4 linked regions of the Caenorhabditis elegans genome follow. Changing the gene in region 3 together with the main gene of any one other region gives a genetic interaction. Each region holds a gene or a part of one and is shown on either strand. Other genes may lie near its edges. The genes, in order: cdc-25.1, efn-4, sma-6 and pha-4.

Region 1 (4,650 bases), on a different chromosome or scaffold from region 3:
AAATGGATTCCGGCTTTTGGTTATTGCAACAACTGTACAGGGAGTTCTCACTGGATCCGCATTGTCACACGTCTTGATTTCGGCTGAACCATTCGTTGCCCTTTCTACTATTGCATCCTCGTTCATTATTGCAGTGATGAACCCGACTTGTAAGTTGCTTGCGTTAGAAAATACAAAAAAAGTAATTTTAGCTCGGGCATCTTCACTCTCAACCACTGTGGCCACCTCAATTCTGATTCACTCCACACTTGGAGCTGTTGAAGGAGCATTGACACCTGTTTATTTTGTACTGACTGGATTCTACACTCTTGCCGCTTTGATTCCCATTCAATTGGCTAGTCGTGATCAGAGCCGTGCAAATGTGAACTTGTATTCTGCCATTCTCGTTGGTCTCACCATCTCTGCAAAGTGCTTGGTTTACGGTGTTCTTGGAGCATATGACGTGCCAATCTCTGCTTCCGAAGAGCAATTTGGATTGGAAGGAAATGCTGAGATTAATGTGAACGCATAAGAAAAATGAATGAAATTTGATAAATATGTACAGTGTGCTAGGGGGCTTCATTTTGAAAGAAAATAAAAATGATCAAAAGAATGAAAGTCATGGTACAGTAAATGCGTGGTTGGGAATGGCGAAAGTGATTTAGAGAGTTAAAGATCCTCAGTGACTGAGTAGTTTGTTTGACAACTATTAGATAGATGACCTAGGCATAAGGCGTGAGTTAAAAAAAAAACCCTTCAGTCTTGGAAGCGTATTGCAATGAAGCCACATTGCTTAGAGACCAAGAAGGGACTGATTTAAAAGAATGGGTTGGTAGAAGAGGAACCAGTCGAAACGGAGACCTGCAAAGTGTGACTCAAAATAGAAAAAGAAACGAGAAACGGAAAATAAGTTAAGAAAAAGATGGGATGAAAATTAACAAAGTTTAAACAGAATGATAAATAAAAGTAATGGGAGAGAGGGTGCTATTATTCGGCGTCGTCAGAAATCGATGAGAAGTCAAGAATTCCACAAGGAATCTGATGACCCCCTTCCCCGAGTGGGAGATGTTCTCCTGCTGGTGTGGTTGACGATGATTCTGACGGGCGATCTGGGAAATCCGGTGTGATCACCTGGAGCCCAAGTTGAACAATGCGCTCTTCAGCTAGGTTGACTATGGAAGACGCATTTGAAGCATTTGAACTTATATTGCGCTGATAGATAAGAGCTGCATCTAAATCATTCTGCAAAATGAAAAAATTATACTGAAATTTTTAATGACAGTATTTACCTCCGATTCCGTGCTTTGAATATCGAACGCAGAAACCCATTTGGGTCGTCTCTCATCATCCAAACCATAAAGAATATTCTCCATGCTGCTTGTCTTGCTTCCAGTAGAGGTTAAAGCACTAGACGACCTTGATAACATCTAAAATTAGTAAAGTTGAATTGAAGACGATTTTAAACTAACGTTCAAAGAAGAATTATTTCTTCGAATTACACTACGAGTACATCTTTTCTTCTTTTCCTCGCGATGACTGGTTTCTCCATTAGGTTTCAACGAAGCCATTGAATGATGCCGTTCGAGACGAGCCGATTTAAATTCCATCGAAAATGAACTGTGTGTCATTGGAATGTAAGAACATGGCTCACATATCTGACGACATTCAGCAGTACTCCACAACGATTTATAGCCATAGTCCAACAAATACATTTCCGGATATTCGACATGTGGATAACGAAGTTCATTCAACACGCGGTCAATAGAACGTACAGCATGAGCCCTAAAAATCAGATATTTTATAAAATAAATAAAGAAATACCACCGACATTGTTGGCCCCCGTTTCTGACTGTATTCGCAATAGAAGATCGGAACACGATTTTGAAAAGAACTGGCTTCGCCGTTTTCTGGGAAAAATATTGGCTTGATCTTGTCATGACGAAACAAATTGATAGCTCCTTTCACATGACCACCCTTGTACTCAAATGGAAAACGACAGTCGACTATAATGTATTTCTTATCGAAATCATCTCCAAGACGTTGAAATTCCAAGAGTAAAGTAGTAGGTGAGATACTCCGGAATGCTTGTGACTCTCTCTGTGGATTATCAACACCGGGAAGAGTGTACTTCTAAAAAGTAATTTTCTGGATAACTTCAAAAAATAATCGAAAAAGTATACCACTTCTAACGTTGGAGGAAGTTCAGAATCAATCTCACCAACGCTCATCGCACGCAAAATTTGTTTTGGTCTCTCCTGGAAAGATCCGTTGCCTGACGTATCGGAAGTTTTTCGTTCAAAAAACATCGGCGGTGCCAAATCCCATAACGAAGTTGCTGTTCGTGGGGCAGGTTGAGCGAAAATTGATGTATTCTGAACTTGAGAGTTTCTGACGTTGCTCTGCTCAAAGACCTCATCGTCTTCATCACCGAATGGATCATCCCTCGGGTTATTGAGACCATTATAGCGACAAGATTTGTCACTCTGTGGAGCAACAAGAGACAAATTCCGGCTTCTCTTGCGATCCAGGAGCGTGACGCTGGGAGACATTGAACTGGAAGTTCTTTTCCGATGATTATCCGTTGGTCTCTCGCTCATAACTCTTTTCTCATATTCTGAGTGATCGAGAGAATCCAAATCAAACACCGTCTTCATCTTACGCCCTGTTGGTGTATCATAGTTGTAGCTGAAAATTGTTTTTTTTTGGAAGTCGCATGATGGGAATATACAAAGAAGAGCTGCGTGATGAGCTGACAGACGAGTTTCGTTGTAAAATTGAAACGAAATTGGAACAGTCTGTGAGGGCTACACGACCAGATTCCAGTTTGCTAAAATCCACATCTTCCTCGGGTGATGCATCTGATTTGTCGCTACAGCTAGTCATTGAGACACCTGAATAAGAAACAAATATTAATTAAGCCTTCCATTTACATGACAAACCAGAATCGCGGGAGCTGCCATCTTCTTCAAATAAGGTTTTCGGTGATTCGTTGATACCGTTTGCCACATCAACCACATTCTCGATGATATTTACATTATTTTGATCCTCATATATTGCTTTTTCCCCGGTGGTAGCCATCAGAGATGCACAGCCCTCAACTAAAAATTATAGGAGATACCAACATTTGAATTTAGAAGTAAAATTATTTGGCCAGAAACGCGGAGAGAGATTGACCACACGAAGAGACGCAGCCTATGTTACAAAAGAGGAAAAAGGACCGTGATTGACAACAAAGGAATGAATAAGAGCTTAATTTTTCCTAATCGAAAAAGAATTTAGACTCTTCGAAAATTTAGAAAAAAATTGGGCAAAAGATTCTTATTTAGTTGAAATTTAATCAAAAGAAGGATATAATTTGTGATTTGAAATTTTGGCGCTCTAGCGCCCAGTTTTCGTTTGATCTATTCATTAAGAAATTTTATTTTGGTATTTAGAAACTGCTCATAAAAAAAACGCAATCATCATCTTGAAATCAGCAAACCCAATTTCTGTATTCATCATGTTCTGTTGCACTGTTATACCATTTTTTTTTCAGTTTCCCATCATTCCGGGTATCAGATTTCAGAGCTCCCATGAACAAGCCACTTTTTAGACATGCTGGACGGCAATGTGTCTAGAAATCATTTACAGACGAACTTAGTTGACATTCAATCAAATTTTCAATAAAAAATTATGGAAATAAATTTGTTGATTGTAAATTTTGGGAGAATGGAGAGCTGCTTCCGTCAGTGAAATTAGGCCAAAGCCGCCCAACTACAGTAACCTCCCATAAAGCGTATTTGCCTCACCCCGTATTTTTGCGTAAAAGTGTTTCCAAAGTTTGAATTTTTTTCAATTTTAATTCGCGTTTTCAATGACACTCCGATATAACGGTACCGCGTGTTGTTTGTCGTAAATCATATGTTTTTTTTGAGTTGAATTCATTCAAAATGATGAATCATCCTTTAATTTATTCATAATTTTAGCCTTAAAACTTTAATTTGGTTTGTTGAAGCCTTCAGATTGTTATTTTAAATTGAATTAATAAATTTAAATGCATATTCTAATAGAATTTCTCATAATATACGAGACCCTAAGTGTTTTAGTTTTTTGTCAGTTTGTGTTTGTACGAGAACTCATACCTTTCTCTTTATACCGTTCCTTTCTTGTTGCTCGTAGCACTTTTTCTATTTATCACAATGATTGCCTTGAAATGCATCGTTTACGATTGTAACATTCTTTCTATTTTTCCGCTCCATATTTCTATATTATGTCTTCAAACCAGCTCTTGTTAGCTGTTATCCTGACCACAACCACCTTTTGGCGTTCTTGGATAATCATGAAAATTGTCAGTTTTTGAACGTGTAACCACTCTTGAATTACAGCTTTCATAACACTATTGTTTTGGTTTTTCAGAATGCCAAGCTCCAGCGAGACACTGCAACTTTTTCCTCACGAGGGACGAGGCAAAAAGGTTTCTAGGCCATGGTCGAGTCCCCGACAAATTTCAGCGGCCATTTATGTTGCTTTGTTTTCCGCGTGTTTTCTTTTGTTTTGCACCATTTTTTCCCGTTTTTCTTATTAAAACTAATAAATAAATATTTTTTGCAGATGCTAAAACAATTTCCAAGTGAAAAATTGTGTATTGAGTCGGTAAGTAGCGGTGAAAGTGGTCAATGTAATATGATGGAT
Region 2 (4,847 bases), on a different chromosome or scaffold from region 3:
GATTATCTAGTCCCGTATCAAAAGCAGCTTCATTAGTCCACATATTCATTCCCATGACAACTTGAAAGGTACAAGTCTTGCAACACACAAGTTAAAGTCAAGAAGTAATTTGCATTGGATATAACACTTGCCCCCTTTTCTTTTTGATTTAGTAATGCGTGGAGCAGCCCTGAGCCCTGAGCCTTTAGCCCTGAGCTCCTTGAGCTCCTCTGCGTTTTAGATAAATTGAAACGTACAAAATGTACGTGATTGCTCATTCAAACGACGGATATGTTTGTGTGTGTGTGTGCTTTCGCGGATATTGGACATCGTGTTGAATATGGAAGATGGGACATTGAGGGAGAGAATGAGGCAAAAAAAAACATATGCCAGCCAGTTGGTGTCAACAGTCAACAGGCTTCTGCTGTCAATTCAATTCAATTTAGAGACTCTGCTTTTGAACCTTCAGACCAGATGAATATCAGTTTAATTGGCTGTTCTTTCTCCCCCTGTCATACTTCATTAAAATGGGGTATATCAAGTACTAATTACTAATTTGCATGCGGTCATTGAAAGCACCGATTGCGTAAAAAAACCTGCACAGATGGGTCATGGTGGGGGACTCTTCTAATTTTCAGATTAACCCATGAAGAACGATATAATCATCTTCATCAGGAAGGCCCTCGGTCTTTATTATTATTATTATTGTAACGGAGGGGAGACAAATCTATTGGCCGGCGGCACCTTTCAAAAGAAGTGTGCACCGGGGTGCCTGTAAATCTTGGTGGACCGTCATCCTTGCGCGCGCGCACATAGACTTTCGCGTCCTTCCAAGAGTCCCAATAACAAAAGAATGTAGATTTGCATTCAGTATCCTACTCCTACTCATATGCAAATTTACTACACAATCTTTAGGTATGAGAACCCCCCCCCCCCCCTAGTATCTTTTAAATCTCAACAAATCCATCACAGGTGTTCTAGGGGGAAAGTTTGTGATCATCTCACACCTTCTAAGCGATCCCATCAAACCGCCGCGGCTATTACCATCTTTTAATGATGTGCGACGACGACGACGGCGTGTATCGTCGGCAAAGTCAAAAGTCCCGATCAGGAAGATAGCCTCCAAAAATGTAGGTGAAACAGGTGTTTTTTACCTAAGAGTTTTAGGTGGTCTTTGTCTCGTTTGCATGTCCTGGCCAAAAAAGTAGTATCAATAGCCACTGTGTGCGGTAATGAGTGTGTTGCGTGGAGCCCCCTTTCAAGACTTCCGACTTGCTAAACAAAACTCTTTTGGTGATGACGTAATCATAAGACACACCCGATATGGAACATATGCACCACGCGCAGAAAATTTTCGAAAAACCACAACCTAAGGTTATACCTCAGCAGATTATTACAAGGATAAGGGCGGGGGAGCGGCGCGACCGTAAATCATACGCCGCCTGGGCCCAGAAGACGACGAACGATAAATTCTGAATCAGGAGGTCAGATCGAAAACGGCGTACAGAAGATGTCAAGTGCATTGACCCTACTAAAAATGTCATCGTTGGGACCACCCATCCAATAACAGAAAGCCGGAAATGGGAATGCTCTTCAAAAAGTGAAACCGAGAAGAGAGCAAGGAGTAGAGGAGCAATTTTCGTCGTCGTCGTCGTAGACCTACTTTTAATCGCATCAAATATGTCTAGTACATACACATATAGACCACCCTGAGAGAGAAAGAGAGAGGACCCTCTTCTCGTATTTCCACACCTGAGTTGCATAACGTACACACCATCTTAAGCCCCTCGAAAAAAAACCAATGAGCAAACACAATGCTCAAGTATGAGCAGTATATTGATATTACTCCAAGTAAATCTTGACCATGCACACACACACACACACACACACACACACATCCGGTACGGGGGCTAGGTGACTTATCTCAGTATGTCATCGATAATTACCATAGTATGGTGTGCTAATCTAGCAAAATCTTGAACGCTCAATATTCTGGGAAACTCCATTATTCCATAAAATTGGGCGACACACCTAGTTAACTCTCGAGTTGACACCTGACAAAAAAAAGTGACACCGACCTCCACAGTGCGCATTGTTATGCAAATAGCACGCGGGTTCGCATACCGTTAAAATGATCAGCAAGTATTGAAAAGAAAGACGGGTGTACGGGGAGGTCGACTACTTCTAAAGTCTTAGGGAAGTAACGTAATTTCCTTTACACCCTCAAACTATTTTCCGAAATTGAAGACGTATATCTCAGTTGTCTTTTGTTTTATCAAAAAGTGTTTTACTATGAAAATGTAGAAAAATATTTTTTGCATATTTTTTTAGTTAACCGTTTTTTGATAAAATCAAAAAGAACCGAGATATAAGCTGTCAAAGTGGAGCGCTGCCCGACTCCTTGGCTTTACTTTGACGTTGTAAATCTCACTTGGTTTCAAATTTATCAAAACATTTTCTACTACAAAAATGTAGAAAAATACTTAGCGCGTACTTTCCTATTTAAAACTTTTTTGAAAAAAGTTAAAACAAGCGAGATTTGCATACCTAATGGAGTAAAAACGAAAAAACGGCTAAGAAAAATTGCTCAACTGCTAAAGTCTAAAATCAATTCAAATCTCAAATCACCCTCGCTCCTTTCAAATTCTAAAAGACGGACATGGGTAAACAAGGTGAATTTGAGAAGCAGGTGTACCAAGCACCTCTCTCCATTAAAGAATTTCTAGTGGGGGTCCGGTGTATGCGGCAAAACAATGCATCCGAGATAACGACTCCCTCCTCCCGTCACATTTACAATTTATAAGATGAAGAGCCCTGGAGTTTTCGAGCATCTGCGGAGCCTTATCGGCGAGAACCAAACAATAAGTAGTTTCGAACGTTTCACCCCTGATTACTGTTTGCTCAACTTGATAAGATAATAGGTTACCGCGAGCGCGGGAATCGTACTATTAAATGTAGACTTACAGTGAATTTGTAGAGTTCCAGTAGACAATGTGCTCGTCTGCAGCGGCCAGTCCGAGTAGCAAAAATGTTGTTATTAAAAATTCGAAGAATTGTTTCATATTGCTGAAAATTGAAAAATATAGAAAATTGGGTGTAGGAACAAACTAAAAAATAAGTGAAAAATTTTTAAAAAGAAAAGTAAGATAGCATCGGAAAAATTGAGTAAGGCACAAAAATGAACAGGTAAGATGAAAATAGGTCTAAAGTCTAAATGTTTGTGTGCACACACATTTGATGAAAAGGGGGTGAACTGACCACTACTATGCAGTAGGAGACACGCGTCTCCGGAGAGCGCGCAGAGAAAATGAAGGTGGTGGCGGAGAAGGCGGGACTTACAGGGAAATAAGACGGGGGGGGGGGGGGCATCTGTTGGGACGGGTGTCGTCGGGGCGGGAAAAGGCAAGAAGAAGTAGAGGATTGAAATATGAGAAGTGAGTGAGAAGCCAACAGGACCGTCTCCTCCGGAAAAAGAGCCTATTAAAATGAGGATGAGCTGGATGAAGACGAGCAGTAGAAGTAGAAGAGCATGACTTTTTTTTTTTTTTTGAGAAATGAAATGGCAGCAATTAAGTCGTGAGAAGAGTTGAGAGCTAATCAAACGGGGAATAGGGTAAGTTGGAAGGGGAGGGAAAAAGTTGGATATTTTCAAGAATTTTTTTAAAAGTTCTAGATTTTCTGAGAATTTTAGAAAAATTTTTGAACGAATTTTTCCAGATCTTTCCAGAAAGTTCTAGTATTTTTGTGGCATTTTTTTGTACTTTGTGGGATCAAAATAGCTAACCCTTCTGCGTTAAAAATTAGTTTTTTTTTTTGATAAAGAAGAATTTAAATTCTGCTTTTTGCGGCAAAATTTTTATGGCAATAGTTTTTGAAAAATTGAAATTTTGGTAAAACTATATAATTTTGGAAATTTACAAAATTTGCGCCAATAAATGTAATTCTGTAAAAATTAAAATTTCAAATTTTGCGCCAAATTTACTAGAAATTTATTTTTCAAATCAAATTCAATATTCATTTATTCACAAGAAAAAGGATTTCTCATTTTCCAATTTCAAAAAAAAATAGGTGGGAAATTACAAATTTTCTTGAAAATTGTATCTTTAAAAATGTAGAAAATAGGTCATAGGTAGGTAGGCAGGTACAAGGTAGGCAGGCACGCAGGCATCGGGAAGGTGGGCATTAAAATGTTCAAGAACTTCCAAAAAACTTTTTAGAAAGTTCTAGATTTTCTGAGAATTTTTAAAAATTTTAGAGAATTTTCAATGATTTCATAGGATTACCTGAAATTTTTACAGGTTTAAAAAAAATTGAAAGAATTTTTCAAGAATTTTCCAGAACTTTCAAAAACTTCCAAGAACTTTTTGAAAAGTTCTGAAAATTTTTGAGCATATTTTTTTAGCATTTACTAGAATTTTCAAGGGTTTTCATGTTTTTCAGAAGGATTTTCAAAATACTTTAAGACATTTTTATAATTTCCAAAAATTTTCCAGAAATTTCTGGAATTTCCAGGAATTTTGGAATAATTTGTTAGGATTTTCAAGTTTCCCAAAGTTTCAAAACTTCCTAAAATTTTAGAGCACTGCCTAGAATTTCAGAAAATTTTCCAAGGATTAAAACGAATTGATATTTTCGGTACTTGTGTATTATACTTTAGGAATAGTGTTTTCCTAATTTTAAGCCTAAAATTCCACACGTTTTTATTTAAAAAGTTAAAAAATTAATTTATAAAATGGCGGGGGTATAATACACAAGTACCATATTTTCATGGATTTTGGAGAATTTTCCAGAATTTGCTAAAAATTTTCAAAAATTTTTTTTCTGTATTTCAATTGATTTTCTATAATGGTCTAGAATTTTCACAAATT
Region 3 (5,188 bases):
TTTTGCCGTAACTTGCAGTGCAGAAATTTCTTGAAATATTTGATATCCTTAAAAATTTTCTAGTCGAGATTTGTCAAAATTAAAATATCATGAATCCACTTTTAACTTTACAAAAGGATGATCTTCTAAAATATGTGATAAACGAAATAAATTGTGAAAATGATATCAGATGTGCTTTGTGTTTTAACGAATTAATGTTTCATTGTTCCAACTGATGCAACTTGCAGTTGTCTCCCTTTTGTTTCACCCAAAAGAGTTGTCTAACGGTGCAGTATTATCTTATCAAACCACGTACAAGTATGCCTATATTTGCTCACAAATGCAGTGCACACCAATCCAGATAGATTCAGATAGAGAGATAATAAACGTACATTTAAACATGGTTGAGCTGATAATTTTGTTTGCTCCGTCTTCTGCCACAGGGAGCGCAAGTTAAGAATTTGTCTTATCGGCAATCTATCAAGGAAATATTAGGCAATGATGGACAATAATGTCGCATAATTACAACACGAACGTACAGGTCTGGAACAATGTTTATTCACAAAAATTGCAGTAAATCGAGATGAGAACAAGTTCATAAGAGTTGCACAATTAAAAAATTGATGGGAAATTATTAGAGAGATCGCTTTAAATTTTGACCGTTGTGGAAATATGAACAAAACTGAAAAAGTAAAATTGATTTTAAAGAAGCCAAAAATTTTGGTACAACGAAAGTAAGATCAGAAAGTGGGTTAAGATTGATTGGTGGCTGACTCAACAAGGCCACTGTCTTGCTGTTGGAATTCAACTTTACGCTGCGATTGATTCTGAAAACATAGAGTTAGATATAGCTCCTTAACGTGTTGAATTACCTGTCTGTCGGGGTTTTTGATCAACTCAGCCATTTCTTTTTTCAATTTAAGAGCAGAATGTCGGAAGTGTGGAATTGAATGCCAACTGTCTTCCATCAACTTGCTCAATTCATTAAGTGCTGGGACGTTTTTCCAGGCAAGATCCGGTGGTGGACGTATTCGACGTACACAAATTACATCGTTCATCTCGTCAAAATTGGGATCATTGTGCACGATTCCATCGAATGGTGGGACATGTTGTTTTGCTTTCAGAGATGTAGAATGTCCTTCTACATTTGTTTTTTGTAGATGCATTCTCGATATATTACCAGATGAACTAACTGACTCTCCGATACCACTTGATGCACTGTGATCAGGAGAGGTCTCATCGACAGTTAACACTTCCTCACAGGTGTTTACCTACAATCATGGCCTTTATTTTAAACTCATTGAATAATCATACCTCAACCCTGATTGCAACTTCCCACATAACAAGTGCCATTGAGTAGATATCTGCCATCTTGAACTGAGAAAAATCTTTTGGATTCAACTTGTTTGATATCAGTTCTGGAGCCATATATCGTTTTGTTCCAACTTGAACATTGAATTTTTCAGGGAGAATTTTGTCGTTTTGACTGAAAACATTATTCTTTCTAAATTTCAGAACAACTAAATCTTTGGTTTTCAGATGCATCATTTGAAATAACTCACTATCGTAGTGCCAAACCCAAATCAGCGATACAACACACATTTGGTCGTTTGACTATAATATTCTTTGATTTAATATCTCGATGTGCAATTTCAGGTTTTCTAAAGCTTCCAGTTCCGTGTACAGCTGCATGTAGATGTTCAATACCACATATACAACTGTGAATAAGTCGAAGAGCTTCATCTGTTGTCAATGTTTCTTCACGGCAAAGATAATCTGATAAAGATCCCAGTTCATGATAATCAGTGATAAGAAGCATCTTTGTCATTGAATCTTCCTCACTCCAAATATCAGCCGCCACGAATTCTGAAACAATTCTTGAAATTCAAAGTAATTTTACTGAAATAGCTTACGAAGGATATTTTCATGATTGATCATGTTAGTTTGATATACATCTCTTTCATTTTTCCATGAATCTTCATCAGTTGTGTAGAATGTTTTTACAGCCACGTAACTTCCACGATACAGAGCTTTGCGAACTTCTCCATATCTAAAAAATATAGGCAACAAAGATTAAAATAAGAATTAATTTTACCTTCCCTGTCCAATTGTTTTAATAATTGTTAAATCTTGTCTCACTGTCCTTTGGATCAACGCAGCCTGCCCAGAACCACTTCTGAAAATTGTATTTGTTAAAAACATCACTTTCAAAATAATGGGTATGATATCTCTATATCGCAAATACTCTAGGAAATAAAAACGAACCCTGAGTCTTCGAGCATTGATTTGCTCTCCATGTATGTTGATTCTGTTTTCAGAGACACCGTCTTGGCTCTGGCTCTGGCTTTAGATTTTTCTTCTGAAACAAAATATCAATTTAGTAATTTAAAAACTGTCTCACCTGCTCTTGTAATACATAAATAAATACATCCAATGACTGCAAAAACCGACATGACTGTTGCAAATACCATTATGAACATTTTTCCTCCACGTGTCATGTTTTCCAGTGGAGAATCATAGTCTTCTGGATTGTCAGTTTTCTCTTGAAGTGCTTTCTCTGAATAGTCCCTGTTAAAAAATTTAAATTAAAAAAAAACTCACCCTTGTGATGATGAACATATGCCGGCGGAATCAAATTCTTATTGCAATAGTTACCTTCATAGCAACAACCAATACTTTTAGGAGAATGGTGAGCTGCTCTCCAAGAATTACACTGAAAAACACCTGGTGAAATATTTCAAAAAACTCGATGAAACACCGTCAAATGTGAAGCTCCACTTCCTCTTTCCAGTGTTGCACATCCCCATTTATGAAGAGTTTCCATTCGTTTTTCAGCTTTGTTATAAACCTAAAATTTATTTTTATAATTTTGAAAATAATCATAATTGCAATAACATCGATTTTTCAAAAAAAAAAAATTATTATAATTTGTCAGTTTCAAGAAATGAGAAAAATCCATTCATTAAAAAACTGGTAACGCCTAGATCATATGTTGCTAACCTCCATGGTGTAAAAATATTCCAAAAAATAAAACGGAAACTTTCAAGAGCTACAAGTTAATTTTACCTCTTCAACGGCATGATAACAAGCAGCTCCATCTTGTTTCACACATGTCATATTATTTCCACATATCGACTGATCATAATTGCAATAACATCGATTTTTCAAAATATCATTGGGTCTGTTCCGAAGCTTCATCTCTTTTAAAACTTGTTGCCTGATAAGAAAAACTGAATTTTTGATAAAATATAAAAACTCATGTACCTGAACTCCTTTGGAACTCCTATTGCATTTTTTGGAATGCTCAACGCTAAGTCTTCATCGTCAAAGTGATCATAGTCTTTTGAGCATTTTTGAGTATTGAAAAATCCGAAAATGAGAATAAATATAAAGGTGATGTTCATTAAATCTGAAATTTGCAAATAAATTGATTAAAATATATTGTTAATGAAGTCAGTTGCGAAAAACATGAAAATAGAACGAGTAAAGACAGAGGTAGAGATGAAAAGACTGTTTGCCGAGTTTCCTCTCCGTTTCGTACAATATTTCAATCTACGGCCTCTTCTATCAGTACACTATCTCTCTTAACTATCTCATCATTCACTTAATGTTCTTTTTGACAACTTGTCCGCCTAATGATACTAATGATCTGAACGGAAAAGTTGCGCCAAAATGGATATATGTATGACCGGAGAATAGGTAGAAGTGCGGCGCCTTTCTGTCGCGCCACCCCATAAAATGACGGGGTCATTAAATGGCGTGGCGCCATTTTTCTGAGAAAAATAGATGGATTAGATTTATGTAAAAGAGGGTTGCACCAGGTGTTTCTTTTTTTCAATATCTATTCATTGTTTCTATCGTTTGAAGTTTAGCGATTTTTGGGCACCGGATGAATACAAGATTCGGAAGGGCACGACAAATTTTTATAGTACTACAATTAAAATCGTCAGTAAGAAAATATCATGAAACCATGCTTATAGTGCAAAAATGTCCCAATACCATAGTAACACCAAAAAAAACTGAAATTTTTTATGTATAGTCACAAATTAGTGAAGAACTAGAAGTCGGCAAAAAAAAATCTACGAGTTTTATTTTTTTGTATTCAAATGTTGTAGGGGTTTACCGTTTGAAATTTCTTAAAAATTTACTTTTTTGGAAAATTTGGCAAACACAGGGGAAAATAATCATAATAGGGAAAGTAACAAAATAACAAGTTACAATATTGCTTCGCCTATCATAATTTTGAAAGTCGACCAATAATCCTACTTTTGATCAAAGAAGAGCTCAAAAATTTGCAAGAATTCCGAAGTATTTAAAAATTTGGAAATTTGCCAAAACTGAAAATATTGAAAAATCTGAAACAAGCTTTGAGTTTTGGTCATTCAAAAATGATATTTATTTGACAATGAAAATCTGATTCTACATTTCCTTCTTTGTTGTTCCCAACTTATAAAATATTAATAGTTTACTGGGGACTCGACAAATATTATTTTTTAAAGAGTTCTGAGCACTTATCGGAAATATCAATTTTGTAATAGTATGATACGTTTTGAGGGCACTTTAGTTTATTCACAATACTGGGCTTCTAGAAATTTTAGAAAAAATGAAACTAATGTTTTGAATACTTAAGTTAATTACCAGTGCCAGTGTTTTAGAATAAAAAAACACTTTATAGGATTCTATGAGTTTTTGGAAAGTTCAGTCCCGGCAAAGGTTGCCGAAAGCTTCAAAAAGCGAAAGTATAAAAAGTTCTGAAACTACAGCTTAACACAATGAAGCTTAAAAGTTCTCACATTATGAATATAAACATGTAATGTACTGGAACAAGAATATAAAATTGAAGTCCAAAAAAGACGACAAAATAATGAAATCTCCAAGGCAACAAGAATGGGAAAAGATTCATGATGTATATTTTTTCCTGACAATAAATAATACGCAAGGGAATTGTTTTGAAACTAATATTATTTTTACTGCCACACTATTTCATTCCGTGACATTCCAACTAAGAACTTCAAAACGAAAAAATATTGACGATTGGAAAAAAATAAATCAGTTTTTGATTATTTCGTTTTCATCAAAAATTAACATCGTACGCAGTATGTTAAAATGCAAAGAAGACGATTTCGAAGTGATGACTACACCGCCGGAAGAAGCCGAAATGCGAGAAAATCCGAATGAAATGAAACGTCTCTTGACGCACATGTCCACA
Region 4 (7,975 bases), on a different chromosome or scaffold from region 3:
TTAAAGTGTTGGGTAGAATGGGAAAGACAAATAATGATTGGATGTAAAGATTTCCAAAAACTTTATTAATGCATTTATATAAAAGTTATAGTCATTTCTTATCAGAAAAACTATACCATGGCCCTTGATAAGAAAGATTAGATTTTTAGCCCGCCAATAGGACTATCATAACTGCGTTCATGTTGTTCACATGCATTATATCTGTAAATCGCACATGGGTGCGACTACTTAACCGGACAATAGGTCTCTATAGGTCTCTGAAAGTGAATACAGAGGTGCTGAGAATAAGATCATACAGCTGGCTGTATTAATATCTGGGAAAATCATAATTTTTTGGATTTTTAAATCAAAAAAAAAAAAGATTGGTAATCCCTATTCCCCTTAACAAAGAAACGATAGCAAAGGCCTAAAGAATAGTGTTACAAAAGATTCTACCGACGATGAGCTATGCGGAAAGCGGAACCATTAAACTTTTGTCAAAAGGTGATAATGGACCATCTAACTTATTGGTCACTTTCCTGTCTTTGTAACTATTATGTTGATAACCCTCATTATCAGTGCCCTTGATGGACGGAGCAACGAGAGGGCAATGCTGTGAACGTCTCTTTTGATACAGTAACTATCCATTGGGAGATTAGTCATTCCTGAACCTAATACTAGTTTCGGATGCTTGGGTGTGGTATGCAATGAAAAATCAATGAGACGGAACTTGAACTCTGTTTTTTGTGAATCGTTGAAATGATTCACCTGTTCCAAGTTATTTTTGGGAGTATTAGCGTCTCATTGATTTAACTTTCTTATTGCTTTTTTTTGATTTACAGTAATTATTATACCAGTATTGAACACTTTAATAGTCTCGCACAGACTTGTTACCAGATGTACCGTATCTATTAATTAAAAAAAATAAATCGGAACGATTTGAAATTTTGAAAATTGTGAAAATTTTAATTTTCGTGCCTAAAACAGCATCAAGCAAATTTTTTGTCAAAGCTTGATTCTTTTTCTCAAGGTTTTCAAAAATTCAAAAGTTAGTACTGTGCCTTCAATAAAACTTGTAGTCTCTTAGTCTTACACACCAACGGACCAATGGACATTGTATGAATGACTGAAACAAAAAATATATTATACTTTTTTGTGATATCTTTTTAAATTGCCCTTTGTTAATACTACCTAATTCTTAACTGCTATTAACTGCTACACAACTAGCCTTATCTTGCTCCCATAACGTATCTAAATGTCGCGCGCGCGGCGTCCGTCCTCTTATGTATCTGTACCAGTCACAAAATTGTGTTGATGAAAAAGGCAAGAAGAAGAAGAATGGCAGTTGAGGGTGAGAAATTTATTTTTCCTATTGTCGTGGGGGAGATTGGACGGTTTCATTTTTTCAAATGAGATATTAAAACATGATTAGGAAGAGTTGAGATTAGCTGATTGTGAGCTTAATGATAGTTTTTGGAGTTCAATGTTAAACTTTCCATTTCTACACCACTATACGATTCTGGGTCACTAAACACCCTTGCTCAGACGGCTTTTCAAAGAAACACCATCTCCCCTCTCCACCACCCTACGCCTGTACAAAATGACTCAAAAGGGCACCGCGCCCGCTCTCGGTCTCCGATCACTCAGTCTCTCTCTCTCCCTCCACAACCCAAAAAGGAGGCTTGCAGAAGTAGAGAAGCAGAGAGTGACGATCGCTGTCTCCAGGTGTCCGTGTCAAACTCTCTTATCAATCAGTGCTCTTTTTCTCTCGTGTTACTGCGTCTCTATGTCCATTCCCTTCTACTCATTCCCATACAGCCCCCTTCTACACCACCATCATCACCATCACACTGTCACAGTGTTGATAACGAAGAGTCGTATCAAGAGACCTAACAAAATCACCCAACCCCAGCCAATATTACCTTATACACCCTATCTGTCCACTGCGTATTTTTTGAAGGACTATCTAATTTGAGATACAATGACATCGCCATCCAGTGATGAGGACATTATTGATATAAGGGTAAGGCACCAGTTATTTTCTGCTTCATGCATCGTTTTTTTTTAAAATTGTTCGGGGCCTCTGAAAACGTTTTTGTTAGCTCCCGGCTGTATGCTCACTTTTTTCGAAATTAAAAACTTACAACCATCTTTGCCACACATGTTTAATCTATTTCTGCAGCTACCTTTCTATTTCTCTTCTGAAACAATCTGAAAATGAGCACCTTCTGTGTATAATAGCACATAAGTGCTCATTAACAGGGGATACTCGATGTCAATATGACCCGGCCAGGATGCTAGGTTGCCACCTATTATTGCTCCATTGGTATTCTGGGAAGATGCACATTTTGAGAATATCATGAACATCTGTGATTTGTCAGAAATAGTTTAGGTTATTGTTCAGCTTACCATATTTTCTTCAAACATCACTACAAACTTTTTTAATGACATTAAATACATTTTTTCTAAGTTCAATAGCTTTTTTGGAATTTGAATGTTAGTCATGAACTCTTAAAATATGCAAGGCTCAAAAAGTGAAATTGTTAAAACTTTCTTTTAAGATTTTTTTATCGATTCTCTTTTCGGAGAGATACAATGAAAATTTGATTCTCACGGTCCACGCACAAAGTTTTTTCTTCGTTTTGCTAGAAAAAATTTCTATGGAACAATTTGAACATGTTTTGAAACACTGTGGAAAATTAAAAGTTTTCATATTTCGATAATAAGAGCTCCCGAAAAAAATGCTCCAAAAACAAAACTCGGGCCATCCAAATATTTTTTGTTTCGATGGATGAAATGCGATATTCACCGAAGGGGCACCACCACCAGTGGCTCCGAAAGCTTCCACCCAAAAATGGGAGCCTCCTAGACGTATATTTTGTGCTCTTTTCTACTCTCTCGCTCCTCCTTCCCATGCAAATATTTGACAATTTCGCAGTGTGTATGTGATATCAGTTTTTGTTTGCCAATTGTTGTTTCTTTTATTTGCCATGTTCGTTTCACACGGTTTCAGTGATAAATATGTGATAAGCTTCAAGACGAACCTAATTTTTTTAGAACAAAATATGACGAAATGGGGTTCAAAAGTTTGGATTTACCATGGAAAATGTTTTTCTCACTTTACAATTACTATTCTTATAGACATGAATTTTCTTTTTCCTAAAAACGTCCCACACTTTTTGATTCTAATATACCTACACCTATTTTGAAATAATGAAATCATATCGAGTGAGTATTGATAAGAAACCTCTTCTTCCGCCTACACTGCTTTCTACTCTATTTTACGATTATTGATTATTTTGGAGAAGTGTATAAGATAATGAGTCAGCGCAGTTAATGCTCAATAATAACAGGTGCTAAAAAATAGGCGGCAGATGGATGATAGTCGTCTCAAGTTTTTTTACGATTTTGAATCACAGCTGGAAAAAACGACTGTTAGGGCGAACATCTGGACCCAGAAATATTCATTCAAAATTTGCTTGAAAGAACCATTCAAAATCGGACTAAAAACGGCGGCAATAGTAAAAGGAAATAGTTTTTAAAAAAAGGCGAATCGGCAAACTGCCGGTGCCGGATATCAGATTTGCCGGAAATGTTTAGAGGGATTTTTTCGTAAGACCGAAACACTTTGCCGGAAATTTTCAATTCCGGCAATTTGCCGATTTGCCGGAAAAATTGTTTGCCGCCCACCCCTGATTGATACCACGCCTCTTTTCAATCAATAATAAAAGTTTTAATAAAAATGTGAGAGGACCCATAGCGGTATTGATAAGGTGGTCTAAGAAAAGAAAAAAAATTAAGATTTCTCTTGTAGATTTTGTTGAAACATTCACATGTTTTTAAAAAAATAGCGATAGTTTTTTTTTTCAACTTCGCCGCCACGTAGTAAAACCCTCGCATCCCGAACCTATTTCCAACCCACTCTCATTTCGTCATCGTTCTTCAGCTCTTGAAATTGCCGTTTGTATCATTTGGTGCTATATATTGCATTTTTAAGAGATTTCCTTGCCGCTTTTCCTCTCATCAACCCTTAAGCTTTCGCCGAAATTGCCCCCGGACATATTTTCAATTTCTTCACATCTGAATCCTCCTCCCTCCTCTATCCCACTTGTATGTAATTCTATACCACACCACCTCATTCTTAGTATCCTAGTACGTGCTAGGCTAGGACACAAAATTGGGTCAAGTGGAAAAGAGATATTTTGGAAAATTCAATGAAAAATTTGAGAACTTTTTAACAATGAAAAAAATTAAACTATTTTGTTTGAAGGTCATCAAAGAGGAGCCAGAGTCGGAACCTGACTCTGAAGCCGAGCCAGCCACAACCACGAATTCAACGGATTCAGAAGATTCTGTGGAACAGGAAAATAAAAAGTTATTGGAAACCGAGAAGAATCGAAAACGCGAGCAGAAACATAAAATGTTGCCAAATGGAACCACTTCTGGGACCTCCGACACGGGAAATCAGGTGCCTGCCACGTCGTCGGCTGCTTCAAGTGTAGACTATACGGTAGGTATGGTGCGGCAAATTTGGTAGGGTGTCAAAAATAAAGTAATAATAATAATCGTCATTTTTAACCCAAGCTTATCAGAATAAAAAACCATATGGCTAGTTGTATAACCGTCTGGCGTATCTTTTTGATGATTAATTTTTTGAGTAGGTAAATGCACTGTGAGTCATTTAGTTTTTTTATTCTTCTGTTTAACTTGTTAGTTTCTGCAATAAGTTTTAAAATTTCAATTCGTTAATCAATTTTTTAAATCGAAAATATTTCTTTGAAATTCAATCCCAGATTCTGAGTATATCACCAAAATTTAGAATTGCGAAATATTTTGAGGTCCAATACGGCTCAACATTAAAATCAACCAAAAATTAAAGAGTGATAACCAAATAGGGATTATGTTCAAGACGCTGTGACACCAAGAAGTTGGCAAAAAAAATTTGATTTTAGCTGAAAATGGGCAAATTTTTTCTAGAACTTTGAACCGCCATAGCTTTTTTTTGAGAAATTTTTAAAACGTCTCATTATGAAATTCGGTAGTTTTGCGTCATTTTGGGTTAAAAAAGCAAAGTCTCAGATTTCGGTACTCCTCATTTAATAAAAATTCGATTTAAAATTGTAGCAGTTAGTTTTTTTTTTGTAAAATTTTTTAGAAAAGTAGCTAAAAAGTAGCAAAGTGATGGTGTCCAGAAGAAAATAGAAATTGTGAGGTCCTCCTACCAAAAGAAGAAGGGGCTGGGCGTCGTGTTGCCCAAGAAGCCAAATATTTATTCAATTTCTATTTATTTATCCGACGACGACGAGGAACCCCCCCCCCCCCCCCCCCCCCCCCCCCCACCGTCCACAAACACACACACAACCAAAATTAGAATTCTTAAAAAAGCACCACGTGGAGATTACAATTAGTGAAACACCTATACTATTTTCAGCCATGAGTCAGTTGAAATCTAAAACAAGGTAAAAATCCGAAATGGGCGGAGTCCGCGACGGGGTTACTGTGGCTAAGCGATAGGCGGTGCGCACGCGCATAGGAGGGCAAGGTAGGCGGAGTCCCGCTGCTCTAGTGCCTAGCCTCTCCTTCACCTCTCTTCTTCAGTACGGGGCGTTCTACTTACCTTTGAGCATCATCTTTTTAAGGAATTTCCAAGGCTCAGGTTCAGAGGTCAAACGGGACTTATTTGTTCATTTCCATGTCTAGCTCCACGTGTGGGGCTTCCGAATTTTCTAAATATTTGTTATTTGTTATAAACACACACACACACACACATTTTGTATTTATCTTTAAATATTTACATAATCCCAGACCTCAAAGCAAACTTTCAATTTTTTTCTTGCAGGCCATGAACGCTCAGGACTATCTGCCGACGTATTCTAATACTACGTTAAACTACCAACCATATCAGGTAAAAAGTTTGACCCTGTTCTCACTAATAAGTCTAATAACATCCATTCTACTTTCAGTACCAGACTGCTGCCAATGGACTTCTGAACTACAACAACTACAGCCAGTATGCCACTGCTAATCAGCTCGGATCGAACTACATCAGCCCAGCCAATTTCATGCAAGGAGGAGGAATTTCACCTCTTGGTAAGTTTTAAAATATCCCTAATTGTCTAAATACTAACTCTCACATACATAAAAACAGTATAGCATATAATTATTTTTAATACGGTTAAGACAATGCATGAATTTATATCTATAGACAATCCTGATTAAATAAATTATTGTGAGATACTCTTCACTCTGAAAGCTCTAAATATTTCCCAAGCACAAAATGAGTATCCATTATTCATTCATACCTACCTTGAGTGGCGCTCTCTATACACAATTTGTAATTTGATCTCATTCAGGTTTTACCACTGGCACCACCGGAGCCACCACAGCGGCCGCTTCCGTGGCCACGTCGTCCGCCTCAGCGGTCATCGGAAGAAGCAATGGACGATCAAGCTCGACGGTTGCTGCATCGCCAGCCGATAGGTCTTATTCTGGTGTAAGCGGAGGGCAAGGCCAAGAACTCACGATTCAGGAATTTGAAACTGTCACGGAAAAGATCAGAAGACATGGAACTTATGGACAATCGAAACCTCCATACTCTTACATTAGCTTAATTACTATGGCAATTCAAAAGTCTAATTCTAGACAATTGACATTGTCTGAAATCTACAATTGGATCATGGATTTGTTCCCTTACTATCAGAACAATCAACAAAGATGGCAAAACTCAATTCGCCACTCCCTCTCCTTCAATGATTGCTTTGTAAAGGTTGCCAGGTAAGAGTCTTGAAAATTAAAGTTTTTTCTGGACACGTTTTGTCCCGATAAAAAACTTCTTATTGTTTTCCCACAAAAACCATCATTTCCTATTATAATCGGAACCTATATAGTTTATCTCAAGGACTACCTTTTCTGCAGCGCCACATTTATTATACCGTGCGCCCAAGGGACACCCATTGATGCGTGAAGCTGTTGAAATGAGAAATTACCGGAGAGAGTGAGGGTGCGCGTTAGTGAAAAGATTTGACAAAAAATCTATATGGATGTTTTCCGGAAACGATTTACAAAGACTAAGTTTATAATTTTCAGGTCCCCTGACAAGCCTGGAAAGGGATCCTTCTGGACTCTTCACGAGCACTGTGGGAATATGTTTGAGAATGGATGCTACCTCCGTAGGCAGAAGAGATTCAAGGTCAAGGAACGTGAGCCATCGAGAAAGAAGAGAAATGCCAACTCCCAACAATTGCATCAACAACAACACATTCCAAAAATGGAAATCAAAGAAGAGGATCCAACATCCATCACGACCACATCATCACTTGGTGCTTATTCTCTGATCCCTCAAATTTCTACAAAGAAGGAGATCAAGGAAGAGCTGAAAGCTGTGCAAGATGCAACTGCAGCTGCTGCCAATCTTGGCCTAATTGACCCATCGGGAACGCCGTCGGCTGTTAATCACAGTCAACCTACTTCAGTGATCTCAAGTGTTGGCACACTAGGAACCACGCAAGCACAGGTAAGATAAAATCTAGCCAGTGAATACAATATTTCAAGCTCCCATTTTGAATTTTTTCAGATGACACTCAATGGTCAATACGCGTCTCCTTACCTCTACAGTTCGGATTTTGCCACAATTCTCCCACAATCCCAGAATTTCCTGAACAACACACTCTACAACACAACGAGCAGTTATCCAGGAATTGACTACACCAACGGAGTATACCAGAATACTCTTTACAGGTATGTCTGATGGTATAACTAACGATGTTTTGTTGACCCCCTACTAATTTTTTTCGTTTGTTTTCCTTGTTTAAAACACATCATTTATTTTCTACGGTCTCATGATTATTTTGAATGTTTTAGAAGTTAACAATAAATTTCAATTTAGTAAAAATTGGAGTCTGGTTCTACTCGGTCATAATAGTAAGATTTAAAAAAGTACTAACGAATTTGATAGTATTGGTTTTTATTATCAAGGAAAGTATTTCAACTTAATCCC

Evidence for each region.
Region 1: changes in sma-6 (region 3) and cdc-25.1 together harm fitness more than expected from each alone (negative genetic interaction), as found in Caenorhabditis elegans (one large-scale study listed by BioGRID).
Region 2: changes in sma-6 (region 3) and efn-4 together harm fitness more than expected from each alone (negative genetic interaction), as found in Caenorhabditis elegans (one large-scale study listed by BioGRID).
Region 4: changes in sma-6 (region 3) and pha-4 together harm fitness more than expected from each alone (negative genetic interaction), as found in Caenorhabditis elegans (one large-scale study listed by BioGRID).

Annotation. Positions count from the first base shown.
Region 1 is NC_003279.8:6,468,846-6,473,495, forward strand, and holds cdc-25.1 (M-phase inducer phosphatase cdc-25.1), read right to left. Parts: upstream 3,078-4,650; 5' UTR 3,058-3,077; coding exon 2,919-3,057; intron 2,871-2,918; coding exon 2,708-2,870; intron 2,665-2,707; coding exon 2,160-2,664; intron 2,110-2,159; coding exon 1,808-2,109; intron 1,762-1,807; coding exon 1,449-1,761; intron 1,407-1,448; coding exon 1,269-1,406; intron 1,222-1,268; coding exon 967-1,221; 3' UTR 541-966; downstream 1-540. Other genes in the region: K06A5.2 (DUF389 domain membrane protein), read left to right, coding at 1-149, 192-511; uad-2 (Chromo domain-containing protein), read left to right, coding at 4,376-4,432.
Region 2 is NC_003282.8:557,432-562,278, reverse strand, and holds the start of efn-4 (Ephrin-4), read right to left. Parts: upstream 3,046-4,847; 5' UTR 3,042-3,045; coding exon 2,944-3,041; intron 1,492-2,943; exon of another isoform or gene 1,354-1,491; intron 753-1,353; exon of another isoform or gene 631-752; intron 1-630. UniProt on the Caenorhabditis elegans protein: Regulates the formation or stabilization of cell-cell contacts at several stages of epithelial morphogenesis. In early embryonic development, involved in ventral closure of the epidermis.
Region 3 is NC_003280.10:6,322,684-6,327,871, reverse strand, and holds sma-6 (Serine/threonine-protein kinase receptor sma-6), read right to left. Parts: upstream 3,389-5,188; 5' UTR 3,384-3,388; coding exon 3,244-3,383; intron 3,197-3,243; coding exon 3,046-3,196; intron 2,828-3,045; coding exon 2,738-2,827; intron 2,693-2,737; coding exon 2,581-2,692; intron 2,537-2,580; coding exon 2,381-2,536; intron 2,339-2,380; coding exon 2,245-2,338; intron 2,156-2,244; coding exon 2,075-2,155; intron 2,030-2,074; coding exon 1,893-2,029; intron 1,846-1,892; coding exon 1,542-1,845; intron 1,466-1,541; coding exon 1,294-1,465; intron 1,251-1,293; coding exon 852-1,250; intron 807-851; coding exon 732-806; 3' UTR 517-731; downstream 1-516. Other genes in the region: C32D5.4 (uncharacterized protein), read left to right, coding at 4,793-5,188.
Region 4 is NC_003283.11:20,751,092-20,759,066, forward strand, and holds the start of pha-4 (Defective pharyngeal development protein 4), read left to right. Parts: upstream 1-1,960; coding exon 1,961-2,002; intron 2,003-4,249; coding exon 4,250-4,489; intron 4,490-5,437; exon of another isoform or gene 5,438-5,646; intron 5,647-5,818; coding exon 5,819-5,884; intron 5,885-5,942; coding exon 5,943-6,069; intron 6,070-6,332; coding exon 6,333-6,753; intron 6,754-7,065; coding exon 7,066-7,492; intron 7,493-7,552; coding exon 7,553-7,716; intron 7,717-7,975.